Linked DNA regions of Bombyx mori. The protein of the gene in region 1 interacts with the protein of each later gene in a pairwise test. Links are inferred from orthologs where the notes say so. Each region holds a gene or a part of one and is shown on either strand. Other genes may lie near its edges.

Region 1 (4,315 bases):
AAGACGCCAGTTTTTCTGTAACTATTCAAGAATATTATAGATAGGCAGCAAATCATTTGAGTCACAGAGATTACTGATGTCGATCCCCATCTGGAGGCCCAATGCCCGTCTGTTTGATGAGGTAATAAAAATAAAATATACTAATTAAATTCGGTTAAATAGAATTTAAGCCGAGCAAACAAGCTGTGTTTATCTTTTATAAATTTTTTGTAGATGTTAATTTATCGATAATCTAAAAATAATGATGACCTTGAACGATTATTGTGTTTCAACAAATAATAAATTTGAAATATTTAATTGTTTTTACGTTACGGTTAATACAATATAAAATGTTTCATTTACCGAAAGCTGTCACATACACTTGCACTATGAGTATTGGTATTGGTGGTAAGTTTTCGAATATTAGTTAAAAAACAAATGACAATTTTGTTAAAAATGCTTTCTGTATCTTTTTTGTTTTGCTAGGTATGAGAAATTGCGATACCTATAAAAATGGGGCGTTTCTAGAAAAATCAGTGACATGGAAAGAGCCGTTTGGACAATTCAAATGTTGGTTTGAAGAAGCTCGCGCTACGAAAAAGATTCTGGAGCCCAGTGCAATGTGTCTAGCCACAGTTTCACAGTGAGTTACATTTTAAACTAGACTGCGTTTTGTAAACAAAGACAGTTGATATCCTAGCCACATTAACCAGCACAAAAACTTGGAAATATTTAGAGTCCCCATTAGTTTTTTGAGAAAAAAAAAAAAATTAGATTCTATAGAAAATACCGGTGAACTCAATTAAGTTTATTGAACGTAAACAAAATATAATATTTTACCCACTTCTTCTTCTTTCTTCTTCGTCGCTTTCTTCATTGCTGAAGGTCGTGTCCCTGAAACTCGACCGTTGCCTGTCTCGTGAGCTGTTTCCATCTCGTCCGGTCCTCAGCTGCTCGAATGGCGGTTGCGACTGGCAACCCAGTTAGAGCGGTTACTTGATCACACCAACGGCTAGGTAATCGGCCGCGGGGTCTCTTTCCTTCTACTTTGCCCGTCACAATCACTTTGTCCAAGTTAACTGACTGTCGGCGGGAAATATGACCGAAGTAGCTGAGGATCCTCTGGTAACAGATTGTTGAGAGCCTGACTCGGATGCAATTAAATGTCATTAAAGTGGCAGTTCGTGAACACGTATTGCAAACCTATTTGCTTAGAAATATCGCTATCTTTTAAAGGCGTCGCATCGTAGCTACAAAGGTTAAAACGTCTGGTGCATTCGCATCTAGCGATGCAACGATGTTCGAATCCCGCAGATGGGTACCAATTTTTGTAATGAAATACGTACTTAACAAATGTTTACGAATGACTTCCACGGTGAAGGAATAACATCATGTAATAAAAATTAAACCCACAAAATTAATTTAATTTGCGTAATTACTGGTGGTAGGTCCTCTTGTGAGTCCCCACCGGAAGGTACCACCGCCCTGTCCATTTCTGTCGTGAAGCAGTAATGCGTTTCGGTTTGAAGGGTGGGGCAGCCGTTCTAACTATACTGAGACCTTAGATGCACGTTGCAGATGTCTATGGGCTCCGGTAACCACTAAACAGGTGTGCTGTGAGCTCGTCCACCCATATACAATAAACAAAAAATAAAAAAAACTGCTTGGGAGAATTTAGCCCCAGAATAGTCGCATCAATCGATATCTAACACCGGGCGTCGTATCCATATACAAAAGCAAACATAGGAAATACCCCTATTATTGTTATCATAAGAACATAGCTAGGCCGAGATCAATGCTGTTGAATTAATCTTATTCAGAGATTTTTATGAAGATATATGAGGGTAATGTTTTAAGACTTATCAATTTTTTATCCAAACAATTACTCATTGCATTAGGGATCTGGATAGTTATGGTTTTTAATGATTATTTCAGGGAGGGTTTTCCGTCAGCCCGATTTGTATTGTGTAAGGGTTATGGTAAAGAAGGATTCAAATTCTACACAAATTATGGAAGTAAAAAAGCTAAAGACATAGTAAGTCTTTTATATTTTTTTCAAGAGGACCCTATGCCATATAATTATTGATTTGTTTATTTGAAATCAACTCAATTTTTTTTTTAAACCGAAATTGTTTTAAGGAATATAACCATAATAAGAGTATTAACGACAAATAAAGATTCGCCTTCAAACAAAGGCACCTTTTAGATTTCCTTTACAGTAAATATATTTAGTATATACTCGTATTATACAAACACAATGCATTTTTATCACTAAAAATCTAGAAATATGGAAAAAACACTAGGAAGTAGAGTAATATCTACGAATAAAAATTTGAAAGTTTTCAAATTTAAAGGTCCATCCAATTAACATCATAATAATGATTTACATTTTCTTAAGGAAGGGAATCCTAATGTTGCTGCTACGTTTTATTGGGATATCCTGAACAGATCGGTGAGGATTGAAGGCACAGTCGAGAAACTCTCAGAAGCTGAAAATTTAAAATACTTTCGCACACGTGCAGTGGCCAATCAGATAGCAGCATGTACGAGCTACCAAAGTACACCGATAGTTTCTAAAGATATCCTATGTCAAAGGCAAAAGGTTCTTGAGCAAGAATATCTGATACCTGGGAAAGAAGTCCCAAAACCAAGTAACTGGTAATTTTCATAGTATTAAACAAGCAAATTTTTTTATCGAGACTTTCAACACAGCGATGTTCATGTTTTATTAAATTGTGTCGTCATTATTACATTATGTAATCTCATTATTTTACAATAAAATTAAATCAACTGGTTTATTATGAAAAAAATAACACAGTTAAATTTTTCCAGGGGAGGATACCTCTTAGTTCCTAGGTCCGTTGAATTCTGGCAGGGTCATAATGACAGATTTCATGATCGCATAAAATACAGAAGACCATACAAAGGGGAAGTGCCAGATCAAAAACTATTGCACGAAGGCGAAGGTGGGTGGGTTATCGAGAGACTTTCGCCATAAATCCTGAAAAATAATGTTTGTTGTTATTTAAATTTATAATTTATTAATTTAATTTAATCATATAATGATTAATAATTTAATCAGTTAAATAAATAAAAGCAAATGTCTATTTATATGTTTGTCCTCTATGCGTTCCTAGGATATATGAAACTCTATTGATAGTCCAATCAACATACTATAGGTGACGCGCGAGTAGTTTCAAGAAGTCGACAACGATATGTAGCCACAGCATAATAAAATGGTTTTACTACCAAATAATTTTGTTTCTTCTTTATTAATGTTAGCTTATTAATTGTTTAGCATCTATGAAAGCACAGAAGAATAGGAAACTCTTCTTCCAAATGTATATTGTGTTCTTAGCATAGATAGAATACACATAACATTTAAGCATAGATTATACACTTAATATATTTGAGATAGATGCGCAACTCTCATTTTTATTTTTGCTTTAGTTAGAGCCCGGGACAGCAGGCGTCGCTGCTGTCGATTATTAGTCTCCCTACCCCCCACCAGGTGGCTTTTTTAGTAATTTTAATATTTTTTATAATTAACTCTATGAAAAAATCTTATCGTTTAGAATCGCTGAAATTCCCGGTAGTACTTATGAAATATTAAAGAACGTTTGATTGTGTTCAGCATTCTAATCGATAAGACCTTTTCATACAGAGAGAAAACAGTTTTTTTAAATAAAAAGCTGTAATTCTCTGTAAGCTATTTAATTTCCCTATATTACAAACAATTTACTGTTAAAAGATAGTATGAACGTACAATTGTATAAAATTTCGAATAACAATAACTCCTCTAGATTAATCCTACTAGAGTACTTAATAACATTAAATCGAAAGTTATCTAAAAGTTAATTAAGTCTAGATAATCAAATCATTCAATGTCACTTAAGTCATTTGTGCGAAATATAAACATGTCAGCTTTCCATTACAAACATAGTAGACAATTTGAATTAAATTTAATAAATTTGTTTCTTAACTATAGCAGTTCTTGCTTAAAGTTGATCGTGACAGATCATGACCTTGTATGAAAATATTACATCTATAAACACTACCTATGCTTCGTCATACAATAATTGTCATTTATACTAGCATTGTAGAGATAATACACACACTAAAGTGAATACTAAATTATTCTTAGCATTCTTATAAACATTTAGAAATTTAAGAAACTATTAACCCACAATCATGTTCATAACATGTGACATTTTGATCTGCACAAACGTTTTATTACATGATTTGAAAAACAAAAAATGTTTAAAAAATGTAATGATGATTTAAAGTACTCTTAAATATTGATAGTTTGTACTTAATGACGCTTATAGTAATCTTA
Region 2 (4,071 bases), on another chromosome or scaffold:
TCTGTCATATTTAGATCAACTTAAGCAATATGTTGTTGATACATTCATTTTTAATAGTTGATATTTTTTTAAAGAATAATTACTTAACATAATTCTGAATGTTTTTCTTTGAAGTTTATTTTGTTGCATAACACATGATCTAGCTATCTTAGCATGAAGTTATTATACATCAAGTGAGAACTCCAGGGCTTAAAATTATTTCTCTAAGCCATAATAGTTTGCTGGCTGATAAGTCTGCTGACCATGTTTCACACTCAACGGGCATTAGACTATGTTAATATTCGAGAAGTTACTGAATTAACAGCATTAGCATATTATAACACTATTTCTATATCGCGAAGGGAGGACTCATGTAGGCTTATAGTAAGCCCAACCATAGTCAGTGTTTCAGTGTCTTCTGAATAATAATTTAATATAATTTAAATAATCCATTTTTAAACCATAAAACAAGCAAGCTGTGCACTGTGCTCATGTTCAATAAACAAATTATGTATATCCAATAATTAAGTTATTTTTGGAGTCAATGGACATTTTCAACAAAATTATTAACAAAAGAAATTATTAAGTTATAATTGAAGCTACTTCTATAGTATGATCTCACTTTTATTATTCTCAATTATTTGTAATGTTTTCAGTTTCAGTCAGTTTTTGTAGCAGTCCTTTATTAAGTTAGTCTAAGCAAGTCTAGAAATAAAAACATGAATCCAAACATCAAGTAAGCCTCATGCAAATATGAAACATATCTTTGAAAACAATACTTTCCAATGCTTTTGATAAAAATAGATGTCATCCAAAAATTAAATCACTCATTTAGATATTTAGAGTAATAAACAAGATATTGTATTATTTAAACACACCAGAATTAAAGTGAGCTAAGCTGAATGTTAACAGAGATGTGAAAACTCATATTTTTTATGAATCAAATAAGTATTAAAATGTCATCGTTTGTCCTCCATTCTCAAAGCTACTTAAAATCATTTAAAAAATCCTTACACCCTTATAAATGCAGTGAGATTCTTTATCACAGTTCGGGAAACCTGGTCCAGCAATATTGAATGAAACTTGGTCATCTCCTGCAGAGCATGTGCCATACGGTTCAGTGGTGCCATCACTGTTGGGTCTTCTGAGAAACTTCCGGTCAAATCCCATAGTGCATTTGTAAAGGTACTGATAAAAAATAATGACGTTTTTGATCAACATACACCATTAAAGTAAAGGGAACATCGTCAAAATTTATAAAAGGAGAGTGTGGCAATGTTAATTTAGATTTTGTTTTTCTAGATCCTAATCCTCATGTATTCATGACAAAATTACTCTATCTAAAATAATCACTTACTACAACTGAATAAGCCTTCCATATTACAGATTAAAATCACCTTGAAATACTATGTGGTGTCTTATCAAGTGACAACATTTAAATAATATAAATAGTAATAGTACAAAAACAATGATTTAATTGATTTTATTTAAGAACTTAGATCTTGTCTACTAACACTTTATAACTACTCTCACCAAAATCATTAAGTATATTATGAACAAAGCAAATTGTCAAATCAAGGTATGTATACGATTTTATATTTCAACAAGAGGTCCTACCACCAATTTGATTTTTTATTATACAACCAGGTGAGATGTGAGCTCGAACACACATGAAACAAAAAAAAAAGTAGCCTATGTTCATCAGGGATAACGTCGGTTTCTAGTAGAAAAAGAATTTAGGTCAAATCAGTCCAGTAGTTTCGAAGCCTATTCAAAAAAAACAAACAAACAAACAAATCTTTCCTCTTTATAATATTAGTATAGATTGTTCCTCAAAATTTCCACAACTTACATAGATTCAAAATTTGTGCTTTACCAATTAATGTTATTGGACATATTATTATTGTACATAGCAACAAAATATATCGAGGGGTGAAAGACTATTTGGTTTAAGAGACATTTTCACTTCTTTACAGGAGAGCCATGTAAAGATTAAAAATTTGAAGAACAAAAATCGTAACAAAAAACTTCTACAGCTATTCGAATGGAGTAAACTTAGAAGTTCTTAGAAGTTCAATTAAAAACATTGAACTGTTGATGCCAATACCAAATAAAATGCGCTTTTAATTACAAAGATAAATGTCACATATAAAGCAAAATGTAACTTATAACAAATAGACTTTCACCCCTCAATATCATTCATTCTTTTTTGTTTTAATTAGTTATTTCACTTTCAATAATTACTGGATATTAACAATTTTGCAGTGGGTTAAAATCACCATAATTTATCCAATATGTTAGAAACCTAAACTACATTTTAAGTGAGTGTTAGACTATATTTATTCCATGACAATGTTATTAGGATGTTAATTAAAGAAAAATTCGTATAATAAGTTTACCCTCTGTGATTCATATAAGTCTTTCCCGTTTCTATCATTATGCTGCAAGCTTTCAGTACCTTATCTAGCTTTTGTTCTAGCCCATCAATATTTGCTTCTTCGGTTTCTAATTGCTCTCTGTTCGATAAAAACAAAAATGTATCACTTAGTATGTTTAGCACACACGAAATTTCACTTTCATTGTTAGTTTTGTACATGTCCACAACATTATTAGAAAATATGTTGTATGTACCTGAACTTTGGAGAGTCCCTAAGGCACTCATCAAAATCAATCAACGGTTTCATTTTATCAATAATTTGTCGTTCTTTTTTTATATATTTCACATTAAATAGCGCTAAGTATTCACAATATTTCTCCTCAGATTTCAATTAATCAGTTGTGCAACTGATTTGAGTTAAACACTAATAATATGTGTATAATCTATGCACTAAGTTGTTTTTTTTTTAATTATAAGACCTGGTAACATAGACCATTTAGGTCATATATTATTTGGAAAATGTTTATTACTTTGTGTTGGAAGGTCGTGATGCTGTCCACGTATAATTGTCTATGATGCACTATATTTGAACAACACAATGTTTTCAAGTATTTAATTTACGTTTTAATTAATTGCTATAGCCGCTAGTCCACCCTATCAGTGGTAGCAGAGCGTGGTTACATAAATATCTAGTGGCAAATGGAAGAAGCATATTAAAATTTAAAATAGTAAGTAAATGAGAAAATAAAAAAAAATTAAAATGAGCTCGAGTATCAGAAACATAGAACCGCTGACAAAATCAAACTATGATACCTGGTGCTTACAAGCACAGGCGATTCTCGTAAGATACGATTTATGGGAATACGTTAGTGGTGCAAAAGCGTTAGCGGCAACTACGACTGCCGAAGAAAAGAGTGCGTTCATAAAGGAAGACTTAAAGGCAAGGTCAGAGCTAATTTTACTTATATCTCCACCAGAACTGAAACAAGTTAAAGGGTGTAATACATCCAAGGAGGTATGGGACAAACTTAAGTCTATTCACCAAAGTTCAGGGCCGGCAAGAAAGGCTACGTTGTTAAAGCAGCTAGTATTAAAGAAAATGACTCCACAAGAAGATGTGAGAGACCATCTCAGTAATTTTATGGATGTAGTAGGTAAATTAGAAGACATGGATGTCAAAATTCATCCAGAGTTATTAAGTATAATGATGTTGTACAGTTTACCTACAAATTTCGATAGCTTCCGAACGGCAATTGAGTCGAGAGATGTTCTACCAAGTCCTGACAGTTTAAAAATAAAAATCGTAGAAGAATACGAAGCAAGAAGGCAAACCGAAGATAATGAACCTCAGGCTTCAGAAGCTTTCTACACAAAGACGAAGAAAAAGGTACAATTTTGTAAGGATTGCAATAAGAAAGGGCATTCCACAGAAGCTTGTTGGTCAAAGAAGAAACCCAATAACCCCAATAAAACTAAAGGTCAAGAAAAGACATTTAACATCTGTTTAACAACAGGAACATCGAAATGTAAAGGCAATTTATGGTGTCTTGACAGTGGCTGTACGTCACATATGACGGGTGATAAAAGTTAATCCCCGCGACTGACACTCTAAAGCTAGCTTCAGATAAACATACGACCGAAGTTAAAGGGAAAGGAAAAGCCGAACTTTATACAAAGGATCGACGCTATAAAATTAGTCTTTCTGACACATTATA

What was found. The genes of interacting proteins can lie anywhere in the genome.
Region 2: the proteins of ras-related protein Rab-35 (region 1) and arf-GAP with coiled-coil, ANK repeat and PH domain-containing protein 2 interact in a two-hybrid assay, tested with the Caenorhabditis elegans proteins (2 studies listed by BioGRID). The link is inferred for Bombyx mori from reciprocal best matches to the Caenorhabditis elegans genes rab-35 and cnt-1.

The regions. Positions count from the first base shown.
Region 1 is NC_085122.1:8,797,442-8,801,756, reverse strand, and holds the start of ras-related protein Rab-35, read right to left. Parts: upstream 2,812-4,315; intron 2,638-2,811; coding exon of another isoform or gene 2,378-2,637; intron 2,015-2,377; coding exon of another isoform or gene 1,915-2,014; intron 1,366-1,914; exon of another isoform or gene 1,124-1,365; 5' UTR 820-1,123; intron 623-819; coding exon of another isoform or gene 466-622; intron 388-465; coding exon of another isoform or gene 330-387; exon of another isoform or gene 214-329; intron 122-213; exon of another isoform or gene 1-121.
Region 2 is NC_085114.1:6,704,048-6,708,118, forward strand, and holds the start of arf-GAP with coiled-coil, ANK repeat and PH domain-containing protein 2, read right to left. Parts: upstream 2,816-4,071; 5' UTR 2,664-2,815; coding exon 2,611-2,663; intron 2,496-2,610; coding exon 2,379-2,495; intron 1,168-2,378; coding exon 994-1,167; intron 1-993. UniProt on the Caenorhabditis elegans protein: GTPase-activating protein for the ADP ribosylation factor family. Regulates endosome recycling downstream of rab-10 and upstream of arf-6.